Linked DNA regions of Oryzias latipes. The protein of the gene in region 1 binds, or shares a complex with, the protein of each later gene. Links are inferred from orthologs where the notes say so. Each region holds a gene or a part of one and is shown in the gene's direction. Other genes may lie near its edges.

Region 1 (8,660 bases):
TTTATACCTCTAAGATGAATCACTATAATGCTAAGATATAGTAGATTTTCATATGAACAATATTTTGTATTTGCAAAACGGTTTGGAGGTAAAAAAAACAATTGTTTAAAAATTAAACCTCAGCGAAATGAGAGCTGGAATTCAAAATCAAAGAGCAGGAGAGGCTGTGTGAAAGCTGAAGGTGTGTACCTGGGGTGCCTCTGCGGGCCTGCTCAATGGTGAGCTTTTCGTGAGGTGCTCGACAGTCGCAGCTGGTCTCCCTGGCAAAAATGGCAGGCTCGATGAGAGTCTGAGACAGAGCAAGTGGGTCATAAATAGGATCTGTGAGGGAGGACACGCTAACAGCATGCAAAATACATAAGCACCCTCTTCACTGAAGCTCAAATGTTCTACTTCATATGTTCTCATGCAGCCTTCCTGTCTCTGCCCTCGCAGTTGCATCAAACTCCATTAAGCTATTGACCACAGCTGATGCTCACTCTGCTTTTAGAAAACACAGCAAGATGGACGCTCAGGCTCATCGATCAACGGGAGAGAGGTGACATTCATCAACCCCAACTGTATAATTTAGTAAAGGTGTCAGAAATCACAAGAAGATGTATTCAACTTGCGGGGTCGGCTCAAATACATTAAAACCAATGAAATGTAAGATAAGACCAATAAAAAAAGTCATCCTTCTGATCAAACTGCATCAAGGGCAAAGTGTTGCAGTGCGATTGTGCCTGAAAAACTGCCAGTGTCTGCCATCTGTTGACTGCTGGGAATATTCTCTGAGATTCAGTCACACCACAGAAAGAGAACCAGCACAGGAGCAGGAAGCCGTGGGTGTGTGAGAGGAGGATGCAAACACGGAAACAGATTTATTATCCGTGAACGAGCACCTGACGTCAATGCATCTTCCGGGAACAACCTGCAGGAGAAGGGATTCAACATCCCTTCCAAGTATTCAAAGGCCCTCCTATTAACATCCCATTTGTACTCCTGTACGCAGCATTAGGGGGGTCTATGCACCTGTGGGTGGACTGGAGTTTCATGGAGCCAGAACTAGAACTACAATTTTTATTTTTTTACTAACTAGCATACTTTTTCTGAAATTGATTTGTTTTATTTTTACAGATTTGCATCTTTCCGCATTTTTTTAACTGTTCAACAGAGAGTACGGTGTTTTTATGTCAGTAATCATGAAGGTTTTGAGGGAAAAAAAAACCTGTGAGATCTTTTGTAAGGAAGTTTCACTAAGATCTGTGAAAGATGCACTCATGAGGCTTAAAAAATAGGTGTGAAAAAATGCTTTGCTATCAGTCTGAACACTAAATTTCACCATAAAATGTGCTTGTGTCGATTAAATAAAGGTGAGACAGTTGAAGCACACATTGTCATCGGCGTACATGAAAACTGGTTTCACCTTCTGCCCGAGCCTTGCAGCAAGATTGCACAAATGTTTCAAGGAGATGCACAAAAAGGGTGTAATGTCCTTAAAGCAAAGTTCAAATTTCAAATTTGAGGAAATATTTATAAAACTGGATTTATTTAAGTAGAAAATATTTAAAATAATTTGCAAAAGCAACAAATGTAATAATCATTGGGAAAGATGAACGACTCCTGTCATGCTGTCTTCTCTTTGGTGTAATTTTGATTTGATCTTTTAACCAGGAGGACAACAAAAATGTGTTAACTCATGAGAACCCAGCCCCATTGTCCTTAAAAATAAAAATTATGTGGGATATACCACAGTCCAGGTGGACCATACAACACATTTCTGTTGCTTTTCTGTTACACTGATGGATTAAGGAAGGATTCGCCTCTTCTCTGAATCATCTGGAACAGTTAGAATCCAGCAATTTAGCAAATAGCAAATACTATAGGCTAAACTTGGAGATCAGGATGGGAGCACGCTCTGTAAAGCTGACTCTGGCACAAACAAAGAACATCTGGCATGAGAAGGATTAAATCCAGAAAGACAAACAGAGGGTAGCAAAGGCAGGAAAATGTGGAGTTTCTTACAAGAGTGGCCAGTTTGAAATGAAGCACAGACAAAATGGAGATGAACTTAAATGAGGAATTATACCAAAGAGGGAAAATTAGAAGCACTAATATCGTCTTTGTCCCAGTCTCTGAAAAACTGGGCGTTTGTCCTTTTAGTAAAGCTGTTTTTACTAAGACAGCAGACAAAAACATTGTCCATTCAGCAGTCTGTGAATGCCAGCAGCAGGAGGCTGCACAGCATCTGTTTCATAACAAGGGGGTAACACAAGATGCCCAGTCTCCTCCCCAGTCTTTGTCACACTTACCCCCCACCCCCCCACACACACACACAAACCTACAGACAAAAACAGAGCCAGTCACAGATGCCCTACCGTTCGGGGATGAGGGCAGGTGTGTTCAAGCTCCTCCATTATTCCTCAGATTCATGGGATGTAGCAGAGATCTATCTGCTATGTGACTCAGCATCAGTGAGACGATGCCTCTCTCCTCCTCACTCTGTCTCCTCTGTTGGCCCCGCCCACTCTGTGTCCTTTACTCACCCTCTGACTCCTCCCCGTGACGACTCAATGCAAAAAAGAGGGCTAATGTGATGAGCCTCACTCCATCTTTTTTTATGATACCACAACATCCTTTTCTTATTTGAATTGATTAGACGCGGCTTAATATCTGATTTAAAAAAACATCATGTGTTGTTTATTTTTGTTCTATATGTTTCTATCTAAAATTTTAAACAAAAATTGTTACTATAAATTGAATATTTAGGAGAAATAGCCTCAATTACGAGGCACAAGTACACCACGATCCAAATAGACGATCTTTGTGTGATGGCAGCCCATCGGAAGAGCATTGGAAGGGGTGAGGCTGTGAAGAGCTTTCTCCATGGCAACGAAGATGACAGAGCTCCAAAAAACGAACCAATCAGGGAGAAGCGAGAGTCTTGGCTTTAAAAAAACGTATTGGTAACTAATTTGAAAGAAGAAGTAAAAAAACAATCGTGAAAAAAAAACATGATTAATTTGACCTTTAAGATCTTTTTAAACATATATTTTTTAGCAGAGCGTGGGCTTCATCATGTAAAGATTACTGCATTCTTCTGCTGTCATAAAACAGAGTCCTTTTTTGAATAAGAGTTTAAAATAAATTATGCACACAAATTTAGAATTGCATATTTTACATTTTATTTCATATATGAAAGATATTGTTATTTATTAATAATATAATTACATAAATATTTAATTTTCTTGGAAGGAATTTCAGAGATTTTTAGTGACAAAAGAGGAACTGGAAGTAGTTTACTAGTTGATGTTTACAACATTAAGAATTTTACAGTAATGCAAGTTAGAGGATTTTTATTTTATTTTTCCTTTTGGCACCCTTAGTTTTAACTATGAAACCCAAACCTGAAAAATATGATGTGATTTTTTTTTAATCAGGAGGACCATAATAACCTATAACCTTTGCTTTTAATCTGGTTCCAGTCTCCTTTCTTTGGCTTATTCATAAACATGTGTCTTGCATCTAGTATAGTAGGCTACCACACTTTGGCTTTGTATAGAATTCTGCAGCAATCTCACATTCAGAGCACAAAAAAAAAGTTAAATCGATTCATGAAAACCACGTTCTGTTTGCTATAGGTTTTATGAAGTTGGAATCAGAGTGAGTTTAATGTCTGATTGATCCACTGAAGCACAAAGCTTTGCAGTTTCATTCTGATAGAAATCAAACTGAATTTCATCTCAGTTCTGGAACATAAAGCTCAACTCTATCAAACAGATCTGAGTAAAAATCCAAACAATCGCTTCTTTATTTCACCAAAATCTGCCTGTGTGGGAAAAACTTTTACATGTATACATTTATAAAACAAATGATCTGTTATGTTTACATCACAAAAAGCACAGTTGTTTTCCTGAAAACCAAACCCAAGAGCTAATTGCACATTGAGCAACACTGCCACCCAGTGGACAGATAGCTGCGCGCATCAAAAGCCAGGATGTCGTTGGGTATGACGTCACTTCCTGCATATGACTTTCCCCGGGAAGATCATTTGGCGCGACTGTATTGTTGTTGTTGACCTGCCATCGTCCCCTCTTTGCACGGCTTGAAGTGGGCAGCCAATAAAGACTTAAACTAGAAGTTATGTCTCCAGTTTCAAACCCAGAGAAAGACGTGGACGCTGCGGGAAGTGGTGAGTTTGCGGGGAGTCTGTGACTAGCTAGAATTAACGAAGAAGGCGAAGCACGCGGCTAACACAGTTTAGTAGCTAGCTCACGTTTACGCTTTCTAGCCAGCTTTTTGCCCTAAATTCAAATATCCAATTAACATATGTGTCTTTATTATGCATTGTGTGTTTATAATGATTATAACATTCAAGAATAGAAGAGATGTCAGCTTGGTTGGTCTGTCTGTCTGTGTGCTCAGATGATGGCGGCGATGGCTGCAGCCTGGCCAAATCTCGCTCCAGGCGAGAGAAGAGGGAGAAGGTCGGCAGGAAGTCCGCTTTGGAGCAACTAAAGAAAGCCAAGATGGGAGAGAAGATCAAATACAAGGTCAAGCGGGACAGATTCTTCCTTTGTCTGGTTCTTTGTCACTGAAGTGTTGTTTTCGTGTATTTTATTTTGAAAAACCAAGTAAAATACAAAATAAAGTCAATCTAGAAAACCTGAAGCAGGAAAATTAAAAGACAGCCCTTCCCTTTATTTTTATTATCATTTAAAGAAAAACTTTAGAAAATAGTCTAACACATCACTTATATGCACATATAGTTTTGTTCTGCTATCAAAACATTAAACACTTTCACTTAAGTGTGAGCAGCAATAGCGTTTCCATATATTTATTATTTATTTATATGTATGTATGTGTTTTAAAAAGATCAAAATCAAGTAATGTCTGTAATAATAGGTGGGAAAATACTTATCAGCTGATTATGAGACTCTGAGTCTTCTACAAAATAAGTAATTGGGTGTTAATCACTAAGACTTTTTCTATCAAAATAATTACTTTAGTAATATTCATTTTGATATTATTTAAAATTAAAATTCCACTTCAAATCAGCGAAGATCTCAAAAAAGCTTGATTTTTCTCCATGACACCAAAGATGCCATTATTTACCGTCACTTTAATGGATCTGTCTGAAAAAGAGAGGTTCGTGTCATGGACGTTTTTAGGAACCCACGGCGGCTTATTTCTCATAAAAAATGATCAAAGATTGTTGTTGGGCTGTCCCAATCTACAATTCCTAAATCCAATGTCCTGGAAATTTTCCAGAAGTCTTTGTGAGAAACTAGCGTGCATTGATGCTCACTCGATTGGAGAATATGGACCGCAATTCATTGTTTTTGAACTGTTTGTCATTTAAAAACACAATTTTAATGTATCTTTTTATAAACCATGTAAGCTTTCGTCATTAGGACTCAGTGGATTCACCAATAAGCTTTGTGAAATGTTCATATTTACTAGATTTTTACCTTGGCAAAAACAAGCAGAGAGCACAATTTCTGAATTGTGTTAAAATCCAGGGCACTGGATAGCCCCACACCATGTAGTCTGTTATTGTGGTAGTCTGAACACATCCAATGTGAGTTTTGACAAATTTGTGCCATTCTACTTTGATACTTGTTTGACACCCGTTGATGTTTTTCCAGGTGGAGGAGTTTAGTCATGTGTACGAGGAGGTGGATGAGGAGCAGTACTCCAAGTTGGTACAAGAAAGGCAGGAAGACGACTGGATTATCGACGATGGTAAAACTCAGTTATTCTTCGTCGTGAAAAATTTAAAACAAAACAAAAAACCCAGATGGTCTTTTTTTTCTGTTAGATGGTACGGGATATGTGGAGGACGGACGAGAAATTTTCGATGACGATTTGGACGACGACGTGGTGGAAAAACGGGGTAAAAAACAGTCGGAGGGAGTTGCAGTTTTGAGGGTAGGAGCTCAAATGTCAGATCTGTGGAAACACATTTGAGTTTGTTTGTTTTTTTTGTTTGCAGGAAAAGGGGGCGCAAAGGGAGCGGAGTCCAAGAAAACTGTGAAGAAAGCTGCAGTAACCAAACCCAACACCATAAAGAGCCTTTTCATGAACAGTAATGTGAAAAAGCCTGCTGAGGTGTGTAGGTTATTCTCTTGGAATGATAATAATTTCAGTTTTTTTGTATAAATATCTTTATTCTGCCTCATTATAGAATCCACTTTGGCCTTTTATAGTTTCTAAAAAAAAAACATCAACTGGATTTACAGTTTTGTTTACACACAGTTTTGTCATTTTTTGCATCCTGCAGAAAGATATTGATTTATCCAAAGACGACCTGTTAGGAGATATTCTGCAGGACCTGCACTCTGAGGTCAGTAATTTAAATTCATAAAAAAGCCTGTTTAATTCAATCTTTGCCTGTCTCCGTCTCATCCGATGTGTTGTCTTATACTCCAGAAACCAGCGGTTCTGGCTCCTCCCCCAGTGATCACGCTGAAGAAGAAGAAGTCTTTGGGTTCACCCATGAACCCCTTCTCCATCAGACATCAGATGCCTAAGGTACCTCCACACCTCTTGACTCTGCATGTCTGAAGCTGACCGCTTAACCTCACTCATGTCGTTTTAGGAGTCTCCGATGACGGGGTTAAAGGCTAAAACCGTCCGTCCTCCACCTGCAGAGCTCAGACCGCCGGCCTGCCCGTCTCCCCCTCTGGAAAAAAGCAGTGAAAAGGTGGAAAAACCAAAAGAAGAAGAAGAAGGTGAGGAAGACTCCAGCTCTTTGGCATTTGTTGTTTTTAAGCGTGACTGTATCATCAATGTTCTTCTCAGAGAACGACTCACTGGCATTAGACGAGGTGGATTTTGATGAACCGATGGAGACGGAGCCTGAGATCAAAGAGGAGACAGAAGCTGAAGCAGCACCCTCAGTGCCTAAAGTTGAGCCAAAGAAGGAGCCCCTGAGTCCAGCCCCCCTGTAAGTTAATCCAGGTTTCTTGATTTCCTCATAACATTTTTTTAGTAGTATTCCTAAACCGTTCCCGGTGGTCTTTTGATTATGATCATGTTGTTTTTTAGCAAAAATGTTAAAAAAATTGTGTCGTTTTCTAGGACATAGTTTCTGCAGAGCAGCAGTAGTTCATTACAAACTCCCCTCGGAGTTGTGGTTGTTGGTCTGTTTACACGCTCTCCCGCTACCTTACAGCCCCTCACACCTCCAACCTAACATTAGCAGTAAAACAAAAATAGTTAGCAATATTGGAGCTGTCCAGCCGTACACTTTTGATCCAGATTTCAGCTACGCCAAATTTAGAGTAGCCATTATGATTACGAGGTGATTTGATTTGTACTTCATGGAAAACAAGCACGTAGTGCTTCCTTTGCTGTTAATCCAGTATTTGATTTCGATGAATAGCTTCACAGTTTTTCTTCTTGTTGCAGTCCCTCCAGAGTTGGGGGTCATTGGGGTCAAGAGGAGGAGACTGGAGCGAGTGACGTCCCCGCAGAAGTGCATGTGGACTCCAGCCAGCTGCCGTTGGTGGAGGGTGAGGACGGAGAGCCGGCCTTTCGCTTTTATTGGCTGGACGCCTTTGAAGACCCTTACAACCAACCGGGTAAGTCGTGGTGGAACCTGCTATGAATCAGAAGAAGACCTCCTTCTTTTCAAAGTCTGAGATCTGGCGGAGGTTTATGGTGCCTGTCCTAATATTTATCTCTGGCCGTGGCTCAGGTGTGGTCTACCTGTTTGGGAAAGTGTGGATTCAGTCGGCAAAGTCTCACGTGAGCTGCTGCGTCACCGTCAAGAACATCGAGCGGACAATTTACCTTCTACCTCGTGAATACGTGAGTGCCACTGTGTTTGCACTCATGCATGGTCAACGAAAGAAAACGTTGTAGAACCTTTTTAGTACATTTTATTGGACACTGACATGATCACGTTCACCGGTGACAAACAATCTGGAAAAACTGCAAGACAGAAGTCTGTTAAAACAGCTTTCAAAATAAAAGGATCATTCAATCTTTAGAGAAATGGCTCCACAGTACAATAGTCCATCCCGTAAGTTCCCTTTAATGTAAAGCACATGTTTATATGCCATGAGTACTATCACTCTGTCTGATGAAGTACTGGTCCAAATACAGCTTTTTCAATTTGTTTCCAAAACTGGACAAATATGTGGGACTAAGTAGCCAAAGGAATTTACAGAGCACAATGTTTAAAAGTGCGTTAGCCAAAAAAGCCACGCCCCCTTTTTTGAGTTGATTTTGTTATAAATAAATAAAAAAAAACAAAGGTAATAAGTTGTACCTCTCAAAAGCTCAACTGATTCATAGAGACCAAAACCTGACGGTGTTTTTCGCTGTTGGTGATGTGTCGAATTGAAGTGGATTTGGAGAACTAACTCAGCCCCAGCTGATTTTGTTTGTACGTGAGCTTCAATCAGGAAGTCATTGTTTCCCCCCACATATTCGGTGCAGGGATATACAGTCTAAAATAATCAAATCTAATCTTTCATTCTGTCCAGAAAAGTAGCTTAAAACGTAATAAAAAATGTTAAGTTTTTGTTCAGTTCCAGGTATTTCCGTTGTTTTTTGTTTGGCTTTTAAATTGAAAATCCGCTTAAATGTTGGTAAACTCAAACATGTTTCAAAATTCTCCACTCTTATTGAATGTACTCAACAGAAAACCAACCCCAAAACCGGCGAAGTGT
Region 2 (7,543 bases), on another chromosome or scaffold:
TGTGTGATGAAGCTGCCCGGAAGCTCTCTGCCGCAGGACGTTCCGCTGTGGCAGAATACCTCAGTCTGGTCAAGGTAATGTGGTGCAAATGGGTTTAATTTAACAGTTTATAAAAACAAAAGCGAAAGAGGTTTGCTTGTTTAAAAAATAGAGACAAGTGTGGAAGATTTCTTCGTAGTAACATTCAGTTCCCAACTGACAATTCATTTTGCCATTTTAAAATGTAAATTCAATGTAAAATAAGAATTCAATGTTACATTTTTAAAAATGTAATTTGAAATAAAAACCACTAGTCATAGGTTTTTGTTACCATAATTAAAATTACAAGTAAAAATGGATTTTGCAATTTATAATTCAATGTGGAATTTGGATATGCATATTGAAAATACATTTTCCAGTTTATAAATCACTATTAAAAATATATATATTTCAGTTACTTGTTTGTTTTACATTCATCCTAATTTAACATAAACTCTATTGCTTTTCTATTTGCCGTGATATTTCTCTGTCAAAATTCTAAAGAAACTGCAAAACATTTGTCAGTTTGGTATATTCATCTGCCACATGCGTTTCTAAATTGCATGATCAAATTGCAAATTTAATTGTTGATTGAGAATTGAATATTATTTTGAATTATGGGTGGAAAAAAAACTTCCATAAATAAGGGAACATTGTTGATACATTTTCATGCAGTTCCTGTAAATCTCTCTTTTTCAGTTTCTGTTTATTGAACTCATGTTTGCTTCGTAGGGCGGTGAGGAGACGGTGAAGAAAGTGGTCCTGACAGATCCAATTCATCCCTTTATCAGGTAATAACCCACATTTTAATGTTTCAAACGCATTCTATTTTTATCTGCAGTCCCACATCAGTGAATGGTGTGAATCTTTTATTTTTGGAGACTTTTAACCATTTTTAAAGCATCAAACTGTTCTGTTTTACTAGAATTGAACATTTTCTTCTGTTTAGGTTTCAGTTTGTTCAGATTTCCCACATTTGTAATCTTAACAGTGCATCTTTGGAAGTGGTGGAGAAATACTTTCTGGAATACGCGGTGCAGGACCAAGACATACTGGGTCGCAAGGAGTGTGTGGACAAAGTGCTGGCCCTTGTGCCTGAAGATATCCTTTTTTTTAAGTCACAAGTTTTGTGTTAATATGAGCCAATAAGATAAAACAATTACAACCTTAATACACAAAAACATGTCAGAAATGAATTGCAGACCAAAATGAAAGGTGTGAAGCAACCAGAAAAACTCTGGAAAATGATAAAAAATGAAGCTAAGAATAAGCAGGTTTGTACTTTTCTATAGGTTTATTTTATAACATCTTTTTTTCTTGTGCAGAAGGACGTCTGTTTTTTTTTCTTTTCTTAGGGTACTGTGAAAAAAGGCCAACACTTTGAAAAAGAAATCATGCTGCAGTACTGTTACCCTCGGCTCGACGTGAACGTCAGCAAAGGGGTGAACCATCTGCTCAAGAGTCCGTTCAGTGTCCATCCCAAAACAGGTGATTATGCCTTAAAAGGAGCAGAAAGTTTGCAGTCATTAAGACAAATTCATATAAATATGAAGCCAGATTTGACAAAAATGCAAATGTCATACAAGAATGTAAAAAACAACAACTGTCAAACTTTCAAATTAAGGATTAAAAGCAAACCTTTAAAGATGCGATATTTTGTTATTACTTAAAATAATTAGCTCTCTTTGGAATGGTGACTGTTGTTGAAATAAATAACTGAAGCTATTGCACGCTTTCTGTTGTAAACTATTTGAAATAAAATAGAAGACAAGATGAACTACTGGGCTTTGGAAGATGAATATTGTCCTGCCCCTTTATTGTTATATTGGATTACACTATTCAAGAGTTCACCAAATTCTTTCAGTTATATTTGCAGTTTAGCATTGCGCTCAATGAAAACAAAAGACAGAGCAGTCTGTGGGTTGTTTTTTTTTCATATTCCAGTAAAACTTGAATACTTCCTGAGCTCTTAAATGACTCACAATAAGCTTTTGGTTGTTTCATCTGGACACAGACACTTCTGTCATTGTTTTTGTTTTGTTAAAGACCCACTCAGATAATCTTTTGTCCATTGGAAAGTGCTCCCAGTGGTTTTTTATTATCGGTATTCCGTTTTTAGCCACACACAAACAAAACTGTTGTTTTCTACGACAGTTTCTGCAGAGCGGCAGGGCAGTATTTCATTAAAAATTCACCTCCACCCAACATTACCAGTACAGAAAAAGGTGAGCAATATCGGAGCAATGCAGTCGCACAGTTCTGAGCCAGATGCCAGCTCGGAGGAGGAAAACCAAGAGGTCCAAAATGTCTGCAAGTGGATGCATCAGAATGGAACGAAGCAGGGAGCTTGTCACCTCTGTCACAAATACGGTCTTTTTTAAACATTTGTCGTCTGCTCCTGATTCACAGCAATTTGATTAAAGAACTAATAGAAGTTTCAAGAAGATTTTAATTTTATTTTATGCAGCATGAAAAAAAAAAGATTTGGGAAGAAAATTTAATTGAGCAAATAAAACAATTCAATTCAATTTTATTTGTATAGCCCAAAATCACAACAACAGTCGTCTCGATGGGCTTCGAAGTGAAACATGAACTCAAAAGGATCATGAATACAAAGAGTTCAATAGGAAAATGCTAAAATGAACTAACAAACTAAGCTAAGCTAGACTGGCATCCCTGCCCTTAGACCCCCCTTCGCAGTAAGAAAAAACTCGAAAAAACGAAGAAACCTCAGGGGTGCCCACATGAAGGAGGGATCCTCCACCAGGACGGACAGGCGATTTACCAGAACTCATAGAGAAGAACTAACTTATCTAACTTTACAACTACATATATAAAGTCCAGCAGACGAGCTTCATCCAGCCGTGGTTGGGGGGACAGCCAGGGGCGCGAGTCGAGCCTGAGACAAGAACCACAGCCAGGTGTAGGAACAGGAGCAGAGACGAGGTACTCGGTCAGGAATAGGAGCACGGATGAGCCAACTGGAATCTGGAAGCACTCCCAATCCCCAGGAGGGGAGAGGGAAAGAGGGACAATACATGAATCGCACTGCACCAAACAGAGGCATGGAGAACTAAATGATGAATGATGATCAATAATGGAGGAGAGGAAGGGTAGAAGTAGATGGGAAAAGATTACAGAACCCCAGAGCACCATAGCTACCCCAGCTTCAACTTCTCGCAGCCTACTAAAAACAAATAGTTATTAATTTATATTTCAAACCCATTAACATTAAGTTAAATAATCTCTGAATACTAACTACCGGTAGTCTGATAATACACTGATAAAACACTTCTTATTTTTTTCAGGTCGGATCTCAGTTCCCATAGATCTCAAAGAAGTAGACAGCTTTGATCCATTTGTTGTGCCTACAATCAGGTAAGGGAAGAATTCGGCATCCCTCAGTGTGTTTGATGCAGGAAGACTAACGAGGCCTCTGCTGTATTAAAGTCGCATCTGTGAGGAGCTGGATCGTCCCAGAACAGAAGAGGAAAAGTCGGAGGAATCCCAAGACAAAGAAAATGAGAAAGATGCAGTTGAGACTCGGAAGATGAGAGGTGCTCAAAGACAAGAATACTGAAATATGCCCTGCCATTAAAATATGTACGCTGTTATGTGTAAAAAATGTAAGGTAACGACTGATGGGCTTTACGTAACGGGGCTACTGTAACAAGTAAAGTAACAGAACGTACCACTTTCCTATTGAGAGTATTTATCATTCATTTTTGAGAGTTTGTATTTTTTAAAACTCACACAGAAACCAAAAAAAGTCATTTTTTTCTCCTCAGATTACAAAAGAACCAGCCTGGCAAAGTATGTGAAATACTTTGATTCTTTCCTGGATGGAATGACTCGTTCCTGGAAGGGAGAACTTCTCAGAAAGAGTGGTAAATTCTCATTTTTCAAACTAAAACATGTTTTCTTCTTCTTTTTTTCATTTTGCTGAATTTTCTTTCTTCCAGATGATCAAATGGAATTCTGACAGGCATCAAACTCGTGCTTTAAAAATAACAGATTTTACTGTCTGTTAGTACATGTGGTGATGGATGTGTAGTGCTTTATGCATTTGTGCATTTGACTCTTGTGACTTTGATATCTTTTTGTATCAAATCTTTGTAATTTTCTACATTTTTCCAACATTTTGCTGGTGTATAAATATTTGTGAGGCATTCAATAAAATGTATTAAATTTAAGCTCTTGTTCAACCTTTTGTGATTGATTTATTTAAAAACAGGGATTTGATTAGAGTGCAAAGTATTAATCACTTCCAAAAATATTTTTGATATGTTTGTGAGGATGTCTCTTTATCAGGTGTCTCCTAAACTAAAGTGAACAAAAATTTTAAGGGCGTATAATCTTTACCAACCAATTTAAATAACTGATAAAAGCGTGTGTCAAATGACCACAACTAAGACTAAATTATTGAAGACACCCATACTAACTTATTTGCACAGTTGGTATAATTTTTATCATTTTTGATCAGAACCACTGAACTAAGAAAAAAACAGGCACCCTGAGGTTCATTATTTGCAAGCTTGCAGAGCCAAATTTTTAACAAAACATTTTTTAAAAGTTCTTACAAATACTTAATATTTAATTTCTATAGTGTAAATTTATTCCCAGCATGCCAAACCCATCTGACAGAAAATTTGATTCAAATGACAAAAAGAAGCCTCTTTAAAAGATTACAATAAACATTTACTATGACAAAATGTGTTCCCAAATTTTTTAACCTAGATATATTCAATGCTTTCTACGAAGAGAAGGCTGTTTTTAATGCATAAAAAGACTATAAGTTTGATTCAAAAATTGAAACGTTTTTACACAGCACACCAGACTTTACCTCTAATGATACCGGAAGTAGAAAGGTGCTCCACCGGATATTACGCAAAAACTGGGGTCAGGAGTTCTTTCTCACAGCCATCTTGGAATTAGCGTCCCGAGTTGGTGAGGATCTCCGCTTGAAATCCAATATCATCTGGCAGTTTTTCCTACATGTATGCCCTTGCTAAAGACCTGGCTGGTTTAATTGAGATGTGACCATCACGTTGGTTGAATTATTGTTCTTGTAATGCCTCTCTGTAGTGAAGAATGTGCTGCTGAAGCATTGACAAGCAGCTCAAAATGGGGGAGCACGATATGTAACTTTTTAGTAGCGAACTGAGTGACTTGGAGTGAGCGTTTTGATGCCAGATGTACGTCTATTAAAGTAATAGCCATCTGGTTACCGATGTAAGTGATGGCAATGGCAGGAAAAGGCGGTTAAAGGCGAATGAGCAGGCGCTCGGGCGGTCGCTGCTTAGCGGGAGCTAACCGTCGCTTAAGCATGGGTTCGTCACCTGTTCAACCGGCCATGATAACGATAAACGATTAGGTTCTGTGATGACCGAACAATAGTGTTGATTAAAGTGTGTCGACTGTTTGATTTGCCGGTAAAACACTACGTGTAATTATGTCTTCTAGCGACAACAATGCCTGGTGAAGCGACAGAAACTGTCCCGATCACCGAGCAGGAGATGCAGCAGCCTCAAGTGGAAACTGGTTCGTATCATTGACTTATTTCCATATGCTTGTTTGATGGAGTATGAATGAAGTGGGGGTCTTGGATTTCGAAAAAGACGTTAAGACGTCTACAATGAGTGCTTCTATATATTCTTAGTAAGAGGAATCGTCGTTTATTTGGCTGGTCATAAGGGGTTCACTCAGACACTGAGTTACAACTGCCTAGATAGTTTGACAGACACTGAACAGGTGGTCGCACGCGGGTGTTTTTACTTTTATTTCCCAAAGATCTTGAGTAATGTAAAATGAAAGAATTAATCCAGAACCCCTCTTTCATTGATGCAATGGGTTGTGATGGCATGTTCTGGCCTTGGGATTTGCCACAGACTGCATGCTGCCTCCGCTGAGTGCTTTTTTTGTGTGTGGTGTGTGTTTCAAATCAGTGCCGTTTATGAAAAACTACCAAACAAGTATTTATAAATTATAATGAAATTATTTAAACTATGCAAACATAAAAAAACTGACTTTGGAGTGGGGCATTTGTGCTGCTTAGTATACTTAAATATAAGGAGCACAATAGGTTTACAACATTAATTAAACTGTAACTTTTAGACAGAATTAAGAAAAATTTGCTTAAACAATGTATTATGAGTTGTAGACATAAATTAGAGAGTTTTGATTTACCTCGATTTCGAGTTTGAATTTGTGTTTTAAAGCTCTATTTTAGGGTGTATGTTATTAGTTTACTGAACAGCTATAACTGCTGGTGATTTAGGGAATGCAAACACTCATCCATTGGTCATCCAGTATAAACAAAGTTGAAACATTTTAAGTTGATGTTGCTTTTAAGCCCCTTGATTTAGCTGAAAGGAGAGGTTGAATAAGGAATTAAAGTGTTCTTTGTTCAGCAACAGCTCAGTTTGTTGCTATAAAACTTTGGTCAATGTGCCTCAGGTTTTTAGGAATTGGAATGAAAGAAATGGCTACTTGTTCATTGGATAAAGCATCATGTTCGAAGTTCCTGTGGCTTTGAGGAAGATGCACTGATTTGAAATTGAGAGCACTCCTTTAATAAAAACGTAAATTAAGCGTTGCAAAAAAATAATTTCCCTCTAGTAAAGTGTTGTTTACCAAACACTCCAAAGAAAATAGGTGTTAGTAACATGTTCTTACAGCATTTTTCTGATAGAGCACACCTAAAAAGAATTTAGGCTTAAAACTGCATTTGAGTATTTCTTTATATAAAAAGTGGTGAATCAGAATGAAAAATTGCAGTTCACAAAAGCTGTCAGTTGTGATGCAGCACCTTAAATAGATGGGCCAAAGCCTCTCTGCTCCGCTCCATTCTGATGCATGCACTTGCAGTCACATACGGTGGATACATGAATGCTTCGTTGTCCCCGTCTGAGCTGGCATCTGGTTCAAAATTCTACAGCTGGATAGCTCCAATATTGCTTATTAGTGGAGCCTTTTTGTTGCTCCACTAATGTCAGCTTGGGGTTATGAGAGGTCGTAAGCTAGCAGGACAGTGTAAACAAAGGGATAATGGGATATCTGTTGAGGCTTACTTGCGCGCCAAAGTCCCACACACAACTTGCAGACAGATTTTTATGGAACTATTGCTGTGCCTCACAGAGTCTGATCTAGAAAACGATACAGGTTTTTGGATTTTGCCTCAAAATGACAGTCATAATTAAAATACCATTGGGAATGCTTACACAATAGATCAACATATTATTGAAGCGGGACTTTTAAGTGCTTTACAGCTACGATTTAACTGGTACCCCCTACCACCCTAACTTTCCCCCCATGGTCTTTAGCTGCTGCTGTTTCAATTCAAACAGATTTTCTAGTGCATTGCTTCCCTAAATAAAAATTTAATTAAATTTATAATTTATACTTTATTTATCCCTCAATGGGGAAATTGTTCTCCGCACTTGACCCAACCCCTGGGGGAGCGGTGAGCTGCAGACTAGCCGCGCTCTGGGCCCTTGGTGTACACTGCCCTGAATGTTTTCAATCC
Region 3 (8,027 bases), on another chromosome or scaffold:
TTGTCAGCGGTTTGGGAGTCGTGCTGCAGCTCTAGTTATTGACTTTAACTTGGTTGGGATTTAGATAAAGTGACTGAGGACAATAGTCTGCGTTTACAGCACAGATCTGCTGCAGCTGGGATAGAAAATGTCCTCCTAGTATTTTCAAAATATTACTTTTTAAAAAAAAAAATTACTTTTGAATTTGGGTCATTCTTAAAAAAGAGAAACAGCTGAAATAGCATTTTGAGTCTCCAAGTTGTTCAGTTTGGTTGTTTTTGTGGGTTTTTTGCTCGCATACAGTAAAGAAAAGATTATACTTGTTTAACTTTTGTTTAAGTCCCAGTCCGATCATCTTTTGATCTATTTTCAAAGCGTTCTCAGTGGTCTTTTAATTATGATAATGCTTTTTATAGCCAAAATGAAAAAAAAAAATCTTTCCATTTTCTAGGACATAGTTTCTGGAGAGCAGCAGTACCGGTAGTTCATTAGAAATTTTTTTTTCAAAGTTCTGGGTGGGACCGTTGGCCAGCGGAAGCCCGCCCCCACTTTCCGTCACCCATCTGTTTACTTGTTGTCCCGCTAGCTCACAGCTCCACACATCCCAACACTGACATTATTTTGTCTGCTCCTGATTCGCAAGATTTGAATAAGAAAATACTCAGGAATACAATTTTGAGCTTAACTTGTTTTAAATATATGCGGTGTCCTGTCAGAGAAACACCTTATGTACCCAGGTAGCTACTGAACAGAATTAAAAACAGTGCAGAAGTGCGCGATACGAGTTCCCATGTTTTTTTGTGTTCCCTAAATGCTAAATTTTGGTATGACACACCTCGCATGTGGCACGACCTTCGACACTGAAAAAGCCAAAATGCTTCCAAACGTTAGCTTTAAGCGACGCCAGGCGCGGTCGGATCGCTCCGTCTGCAGGGTCAGCCATGTTTGTGTGCTCCAGCTGAAAAACCTGCTGTTCCTTTAGGTTCTGCTTAATTCTTTTGTGTTAAATCCCATCCATTTTTTGATTCTCAAGTTAAAAATTGAAGAAACCAATCATCAATTGATGGATTGATATCCACCCACCTTAACCTAAATCTGCATCAAATATGTTTACATCTGTTTTTTCCCCCCAGTGACTGGAGTTTCACAAAAAAATCTTATATTATATATTGGAAATGTTTGTTCTTTAAGAGACATTGTTAACCAAATTTCAAAACCTCAAACCTTTGGAAAAGAATGAAACTTTTCTACCCATTTATTTATTTTTTGTTCTTTTTACAAAATGTTTTCTTTCTTTCTAAGAAATCTAAAATAGTTGTGATGCTGTTTTTGCTCTCACATATCCCAGGCTCTTTTGATGCAGCACATTCAAAGCTGTACGTCTTGCTTTTGTATATAATTATAATTTTCATTTTTCACTAGGGAATCCCTTTGTAACCCCATTCTTTTAAAACTTTCATTCAGTTCACGTTGCAGCACCTTGTTTCCTTTTCTACTTTGTAATTGTGGTCCTTGTGATTACTTTAAATAGGTCAGCATGGGGCCAATCTGCCCTAAATCTATCATTCATTAGGGGCTTTTACATCAACAGGAGGCTTTTTTTGTCAATAAAACTCTTTGAGCACATACTGTAAATCTACCTTTAGAGAAAAGAAAATTAAGTAAAGAAAATAGTAAAGTGTGCTTTGAATCAAACAGAAAAAAACCTTGTAACCGTCGTTGCCGTGTTGTAACTCCCAGAGCCGGTGTGATGCTACGTCTTCCAGCAGCACAGTGCTGACCAGCTCACAGTGATGCATGTGTTGTGTCAGCGACTGCACTCTGGCTTTGCCGCGCTCATTAGTATGCAGCAAGCAAGAAGTAAGAAGATGGAAGGCAGCGATGCCGAAAGGGAGGCCCGGAGGAAGAGGCAATGTAATCTTAGACTAGAGGGCCAGAGAAAATTGATGGAATCAACTTGATCTATTCATTCTTTCTGCCACAGAAGTTAGCCTGTTCATTTGGAGGATTGTGTGTTTGCAGCTCATTGTGGTGTGCTGTTGCCTCGGGGTACGACTTCTGTTCAGCTGCTTGTTTTACAGATGTCAGATTTAAGTCAATTAATTTCCACTAAATGACAGTTTTTCACATCAGAGCTCTGGAGCATAGAGTCTAAAATGGCTGAACACTGATATTGCTGTTCCTACTGTGACATTCACCTTGTTTTCATTCATTGACAGCATTATTCCTTACTTCTTGAGATTTGAGGTTGAATATTTTGATGGATGGGGTTTTATTCTTTCTATTTCTTTGCAAAACAATTTCTCCTCTTTCTGATTTCATCTTTTTGTGCTGCTGTCATTTTATCTGTACGATGAGATCAAAATGTTTTTTTTTGTATTACCTGAGATGTTCTATTCACCCAATGTCACTATATTTAACCGTGGCACACTTTTGCAGGTCAAAAAGTTAAACTTTATTTCAACTTTGTCTTTGAATAACTTTAGTTATCATTTTTATGTCTACATAATGCATATTAAACAGCCTTGAGTGCCATTGAATTTCATGTTTTGCCTTTAATAGTGTGAGAGGATGTAAATCAAGAAATATCTTCTTAAATCCTTTTGAAGATCTTCAGAATTAATATTTGATTTATAAGAGTTAAGAAAGACCTGATGGGGTTTTAAACTGCCACTGCAGCTTGTCATGTTAGCAGGTTCAAGGGTTTTATTGCAACATTAATATGAAATGGTGTCTGTGATTGTGCTCTGCCTTTGTGAGAGCGCTCTGGCTGAATTTTACTGAGAGTTTTAAGAGGCAGAGTTACTAAAATACATTTTAATGGTTTAAGATGATTACTACGTAATTAAAATAAAAGTTTGCCCTTTATAAAACCGTTGCCATCATAAAAATGTGATGTTTTTTAGTTTTATATTGAGGAGTGATCTGCTATTTGTTTTAAGTTCAGGGTGTCACTTTTTTGTTGTTGTTGAAATTTCTAATTAATAAACCGGTTTATTTTTAATCATTTATAAAGCTAACTAAGCAGGAAATAAAATCCACTAATACTTTTTTTCTGAGTAAAGAGTTTTTGCACTGATTTCGATAAGCAGACAAAAACATCACTACAGGAAAACGTCATCATGGTGTGAAATATTTTTAATAAACAGTTCATGTTGGAAAAGTCCCAACACCAGTAAAAATACAAGACTTCTTATGAATTGAATTGACTTTTGAAAAATTCTACCAAAATTTATAATAATCAGGGAAAATGTCCCCAAACCATGATACTACCACCATCACATTTGAAAAATGGAACGTGTGGGAATTTTAAATGGAGAAGTTCGTCTTTTTGTTTGGGTAAGCAAACTGTTTTGGGGTTTCCTTGAGCAAGCTACAAAATTAACACACTTTCTATGAGGTAAGGTGACTGTTGATAAGAAACAGATGCATAAATACAAATCTAAAAAAAAATAAAAAATCTGGATACGCCATTTAGTTTTACGTTTGATATGTCTATTTTAAATACGATTTGGTCCGAGTACGACTCTTACTCATCTTTAAATACAAAATGTTCCCCAAAGATACATCACAGCCCAGGGTTACAGGCATATACACCGGGTCCCGAAACATCAATTCAACTGAGTGAGCGTGTGCTTTCAGCCTCATGTATTAAACTAAAACTAAAATTTTTAGAATGTTATTGATCAATTGGAAGGGAAATTATTTTAAGCAAAGCCCTGTTATGTAGTAATAATAATAATAAAAGCGGATAACAGTGATGTCGGGCGGCCTTTTTTGTTGCCAGAACAGCTGATCGAATAAACAATGCTCTGGATCCAGAAGTGCTGGGGGAAAAAGTAGACCTCCCTCTTATTAGGTGTAAAATAAATAAATAAAAGTCCATGCTCGTCTAAAGAGACAAGGGAATCATGAAACAAAATAATAAAAACCAGAGCAGGAGGCGGAGGGATCCCCACTTACCTGCTGCCACTGCGCTCCCGTCTGCCCGCCGGTCAATGGCGGCAGGCGGTGGCAGCCCCGTGACCCCGAAAGGGATATAGCGGCTTAAGAAAACAGATGGGGGGGGGGGGGATAAAAAACAAACAAACAAGAAAGCATAAGTAGGGTAACTGGTGGCCGACTCGATCGATGGTTAAAAAAGAGAAAATTAAAAAAAAGAAAGTTAGTTGGATATTCTGATCCTACTGATGTTATTTTTTGTATTTTTTATTTAATTTGATCTTTTTTACCGCAGCAACAGTCGGCTGCTGGTTATTCTAGTTTAGCTCCGATTTAACTCAACTGCTTTTGTTTAGTTATCCGTCCTGGGAGAGGATCCCTCCTTCATGTAGACATCCCTGAGGCTTTTTTAAGGAGTTTTTCCTTACTGAGAAGGAGGATCTAAGTTTAGTCTGTTTAGTTTAGCCATTACCTATTGAATTTTATAACTTCATATTCATTATGATTTCATGTTTACTATACATTTACTGGTATGAAGCCTATTGAGCGACTATTGTTTTAATATTGGGCTACATAAATAAATTCATTTTCATCGGGTACCAGATGCGTCCAAAGTTTAGTGAGTTTTTGAGTACTGTATGTGGCGGAGGTCAAGCTTTTGCTCAAAGGCACAGTAAAAAAGAATTACAAAAAAGAATATGGTCCTTGCAGACCATATGCTGCGGGCCATAATAAATTAAAAATAAATAGGAATTTAACTGGTCAGAACTCTTCAGAAACGCCTTTGTTTGCTTTTTAAGCTCATGAGCATCAGTCGATCTGATCTGAACTACCGTATCTTCCGGAGTATAAGTCGCTGCGAAGTATAAGTCGCACCAGCCCAAAAATGCATTATAAAGTAGAAAAAAAACACAGAAGTCGCACTGGACTAAAAGTCGCATTTTGACGGGAAATTTATTTGACAAAATCTGAGACCAAGAACTAATAACTTGCACTACCTCATATGACACAATCATAGCAGACTGTCCTTTCATGAAGCATCATTGGCCAACTAATACTCTGTTTTCATCCTGTGTTTGTAGAAACAGTTGTCATTTTTATTGCATTTCTGAATCTATGAAATCATTGGAAAATAGAATATTATGTTTTTAGCCTTCAAGATCTTACTGTAAAAAAAGGTTTGCTGATTCTCTGAGTCACTTAACATCCTCTTAACACTTAACATACCTCATACATCAAATTGACCCAGGAACATCATCTCTGTTCCTCACAAATGAACATAACAGGAGGGTTAACAATGTATTTATTTCAATTTAGTTCTAATTCGCTGCGGAGTATAAGTCGCAACCCTTGCCAAACTATGAAAAAAAGGGCGACTTATAGTCCGGAAAATACAGTATTTCCTTACTTCTTTTTAGGACACCTTCCATTTAATTTAGTAACATACCTAAAACCAAATAAAAACTAAGGCAAAGTATCATTATCTAATATCGTGAAATTGGTTCTAAATTTTCTGATGTTTCTGATTATATTTGACAAAAGTTGAGAAACTTTTTTTTTTAGCACCCTTTGCAACTATTCCCATATTAAACTGCTTTCATTGTGGAAGCTGTTTGCAGTGGGTTAAAAAGGGGTGTAGGACAATAGACTGAAGCACAGACTGATGACCTAATTAAGGTAATTTCACAGACTCACGTGTTGCCGCACCTGTACAGCAGGTCCTCTTTAATAGCTCTATATTTCATGGAGCAGGACACCCTGTCAAAGCAGACCTGATGTACGGCGATGTCCGTTTTCACCCCAACCTTGCCCCTCTGCTGCTCTCATCCTCACGTCTGGCGTCTCTTCTGCTCATTTTTGTCTTCGCAGTTTGATAAAGCATATGCTTATGGCATCCGTCACATGTACGGCAAAGAAGGCAAGCGAGCGGACTACACGCCGTACAGTTGCATGAAGGTGATTTTATCAAACCCACCCAGTCAAGGGGACCATCATGGTGAGTATTTAGCTTCTCTGCCAACTATTAAAACATTCTAAAAACAAAAATTGTTACCGTTTTCTGTGTTCTTGCATTTTTTTTTCGTGCCTTTGGTCTTGTATGTTATCGGATAGTTAAATTAGTTCTTTTATTTTGGTAGGATGTCCGTTCCGCCACAGCGACCCAGAGCTGCTAAAGCAGAAGCTTCAGTTTTACAAGGTGTCTCCCAGCAGTATAACACAGGTGGGGCCATCATCTCTATGCTAATGCTGTCTGTTTGTTCCACTTCCCCTGTGGCCACCACAGCCATCCTGCTCTCTGCTCAGAACATCTTGGTTGTTACGTTTTATCTCCAACACCATCAAAGTCGCCCAAAACAAAATGGGATTTTTCTCAATAAATCTGTTTTGATCAAATATTTGTTTAGCCACAGTTCTGATCAAGCTCTGCTTTAATGTTAATGGTTTTAACTAAAATTGCTGCCAAAGTTGCGCCATGTAATTTTAGGAAATATTAACGTAAAAAACAGGTCCAAACCACTCTGAGAGCTCTCCCTTCACTGAGGATGCAGGAGAACGAACACCAGGCTGAAAACCAAACCACATGGAGTCCAAAACAAGCAGATTTCCATTTACTGGACAAAAGGAAAATATTATTTTATTGGGCAGATTATAATTATGTATTATTTTTCCTTCTGCACTGGCTTCGTTATGGAATAAAAACGTGCTGGTTGTATCTAAGCAACAGCTGATGTGATGATGCTGAACTTTCTTGGTTTAAACTGAGACTGTAGTTCACTAAGCATTGATTACCTTTTGATGTAAACAATCCCTCTTAACATCGTGTCATTCGGTTTGCATTAGTCCTCTAAACTCCTCATAGGATGATATCACAGTGCTCTTTTTAAATGACCCATAATTCTGCATTCTGATCCTCGTCAGGCCTTCCTAGTTTGTGCGTTTTATTTGCTGGTGCCTTCACGTTCCCCATGCAAATGAAGGAAGACTATTTGATTTAATAGCCATAAAAATCAACATCATCTTGATGCTGGAAGAGATGATTTTACTTCTAAGGATTTTCCCCTCTCTTCCCTAATGAATAATATTTCCCACATAGACCAAAGGACGTTGTCAAAACGACTTAATTCTGGTGCTTTGGTGATGTAGCTTTCAAATGTCTCACCTGCATTGACTGCTGGAAGGCTGCACAAAATCCAAAATCCCCCAAAACAGGTGGATCCCTGCTGCCACGTTCCAATGATATTTGTCCTTCTTTTATGAGGGAAAAATGTAAATTGAATTGACAGAACAGCTGGTGTTTGTGTCTCATACTGCTCTAAAACTAAAATAAAACAGCAATATCTGCCTGAGACTGCTTAACTCATTACTTATCTAACAGCAGCCTTGCAGCAGAGAGTGCTGGAGGCCGTCGTACAGTGATGCAGGGAATTATTGAAGAACCAAAGGTAGACTAAAAGAGCTCCTGATCCAGCAAGAGCTGCAGACTTTGCTTTTTCTGATGATTCAGCTTCAGAAAAGGAGCCAAGTAAACCACAGGTGTGGAATTACTGTGTAAATGCTGCTGAAGGAGGCCAGGACTGTGCAAAAGACCAAAAGTCCAGTCAGTTTACCTTTGAGAAAGTCACAAGGCAAGGCACATTTCTTGTACAAAGTCATTATGTGCTTTACATAAAACATTAATAGAAACAATTAAAAGTAATAAAAGTATGATTAATAAAACAAAATTGAAAGAAAGTTCTAACAAACTTTCTGCTGGAGTTGACTCAGACTACAAATACATCAACACATGATGCATTTTAGATTTGTTATATTTGAAATGATTTCCTTTAGGGTATTTTTTCAGCTCTCATTATGACTCATCGCTGCCAAAACCCCAAACTGGAATGGAGTGGAGCAGGGAACATGTGGCCCACCCAGAGTGTTTTCTGCGTCTCAAATATGCTCTTTTTTAAGCAGCCTTTTCTTGTCTGCCCCTGATTCACAACGATTTAAATAAAGTAATACTCAGAAATGAAATTTTAAGCTTCATTTTCTTTATATACGTCCTCCATCAGAAAAATGTTGCAAGAAAACCTTAAAAACACCAAAAACATGATTATCGGAGTGGG

Evidence for each region.
Region 2: the proteins of pola1 (region 1) and prim1 are in contact, whole or in part, in a cryo-EM structure (PDB 7OPL), measured with the Homo sapiens proteins. The link is inferred for Oryzias latipes from reciprocal best matches to the Homo sapiens genes POLA1 and PRIM1. Residues at the interface, in NP_058633.2 of Homo sapiens: Tyr439, Ala440, Pro447, Glu448, Lys449, Ser450, Phe876, Thr877, Thr878, Gln880, Leu906; in NP_000937.1 of Homo sapiens: Asn92, Thr93, Val94, Lys95, Leu96, Gly97, Ala98.
Region 3: the proteins of pola1 (region 1) and prim2 are in contact, whole or in part, in a cryo-EM structure (PDB 8G9F), measured with the Xenopus laevis proteins. The link is inferred for Oryzias latipes from reciprocal best matches to the Homo sapiens genes POLA1 and PRIM2. Residues at the interface, in NP_001082055.1 of Xenopus laevis: Leu842, Lys853, Ile894, Pro895, Glu896, Leu971, His974, Arg977, Glu978, Leu981, His982, Glu985, Gln988, Lys989, Asn991, Glu993, Asn1007, Asn1009, Arg1101, Asp1102, Glu1106, Gln1109, Glu1221, Asp1224, Gly1225, Asp1227, Ala1229, Leu1230, Met1233, Trp1234; in XP_018121015.1 of Xenopus laevis: Pro34, Pro35, Thr36, Glu37, Asn38, Ile39, Ser40, Leu41, Ile42, Phe44, Glu45, Ile49, Ile107, Phe110, Ile111, Leu114, Cys117, Gln118, Ser119, Glu120, Asp121, Arg123, Ala240, Arg241, Leu243, Val245, Val246, Gln247, Arg251, Leu252.

What each region holds. Positions count from the first base shown.
Region 1 is NC_019878.2:15,178,581-15,187,240, reverse strand, and holds the start of pola1 (DNA polymerase alpha catalytic subunit), read left to right. Parts: upstream 1-3,998; 5' UTR 3,999-4,122; coding exon 4,123-4,171; intron 4,172-4,404; coding exon 4,405-4,532; intron 4,533-5,627; coding exon 5,628-5,724; intron 5,725-5,800; coding exon 5,801-5,875; intron 5,876-5,974; coding exon 5,975-6,090; intron 6,091-6,262; coding exon 6,263-6,325; intron 6,326-6,411; coding exon 6,412-6,513; intron 6,514-6,580; coding exon 6,581-6,713; intron 6,714-6,783; coding exon 6,784-6,928; intron 6,929-7,392; coding exon 7,393-7,565; intron 7,566-7,681; coding exon 7,682-7,794; intron 7,795-8,632; coding exon 8,633-8,660. Other genes in the region: pcyt1b (choline-phosphate cytidylyltransferase B), read right to left, coding at 190-289, 2,358-2,396. UniProt on the Homo sapiens protein: Catalytic subunit of the DNA polymerase alpha complex (also known as the alpha DNA polymerase-primase complex) which plays an essential role in the initiation of DNA synthesis.
Region 2 is NC_019865.2:19,070,914-19,078,456, reverse strand, and holds the end of prim1 (DNA primase small subunit), read left to right. Parts: coding exon 1-74; intron 75-750; coding exon 751-809; intron 810-1,009; coding exon 1,010-1,119; intron 1,120-1,200; coding exon 1,201-1,292; intron 1,293-1,373; coding exon 1,374-1,506; intron 1,507-3,326; coding exon 3,327-3,396; intron 3,397-3,468; coding exon 3,469-3,575; intron 3,576-3,806; coding exon 3,807-3,905; intron 3,906-3,980; coding exon 3,981-4,000; 3' UTR 4,001-4,223; downstream 4,224-7,543. Other genes in the region: naca (nascent polypeptide-associated complex subunit alpha), read left to right, coding at 5,490-5,559. UniProt on the Homo sapiens protein: Catalytic subunit of the DNA primase complex and component of the DNA polymerase alpha complex (also known as the alpha DNA polymerase-primase complex - primosome/replisome) which play an essential role in the initiation of DNA synthesis.
Region 3 is NC_019873.2:24,454,713-24,462,739, forward strand, and holds part of prim2 (DNA primase large subunit), read left to right. Parts: intron 1-5,790; coding exon 5,791-5,917; intron 5,918-6,059; coding exon 6,060-6,142; intron 6,143-8,027. UniProt on the Homo sapiens protein: Regulatory subunit of the DNA primase complex and component of the DNA polymerase alpha complex (also known as the alpha DNA polymerase-primase complex) which play an essential role in the initiation of DNA synthesis.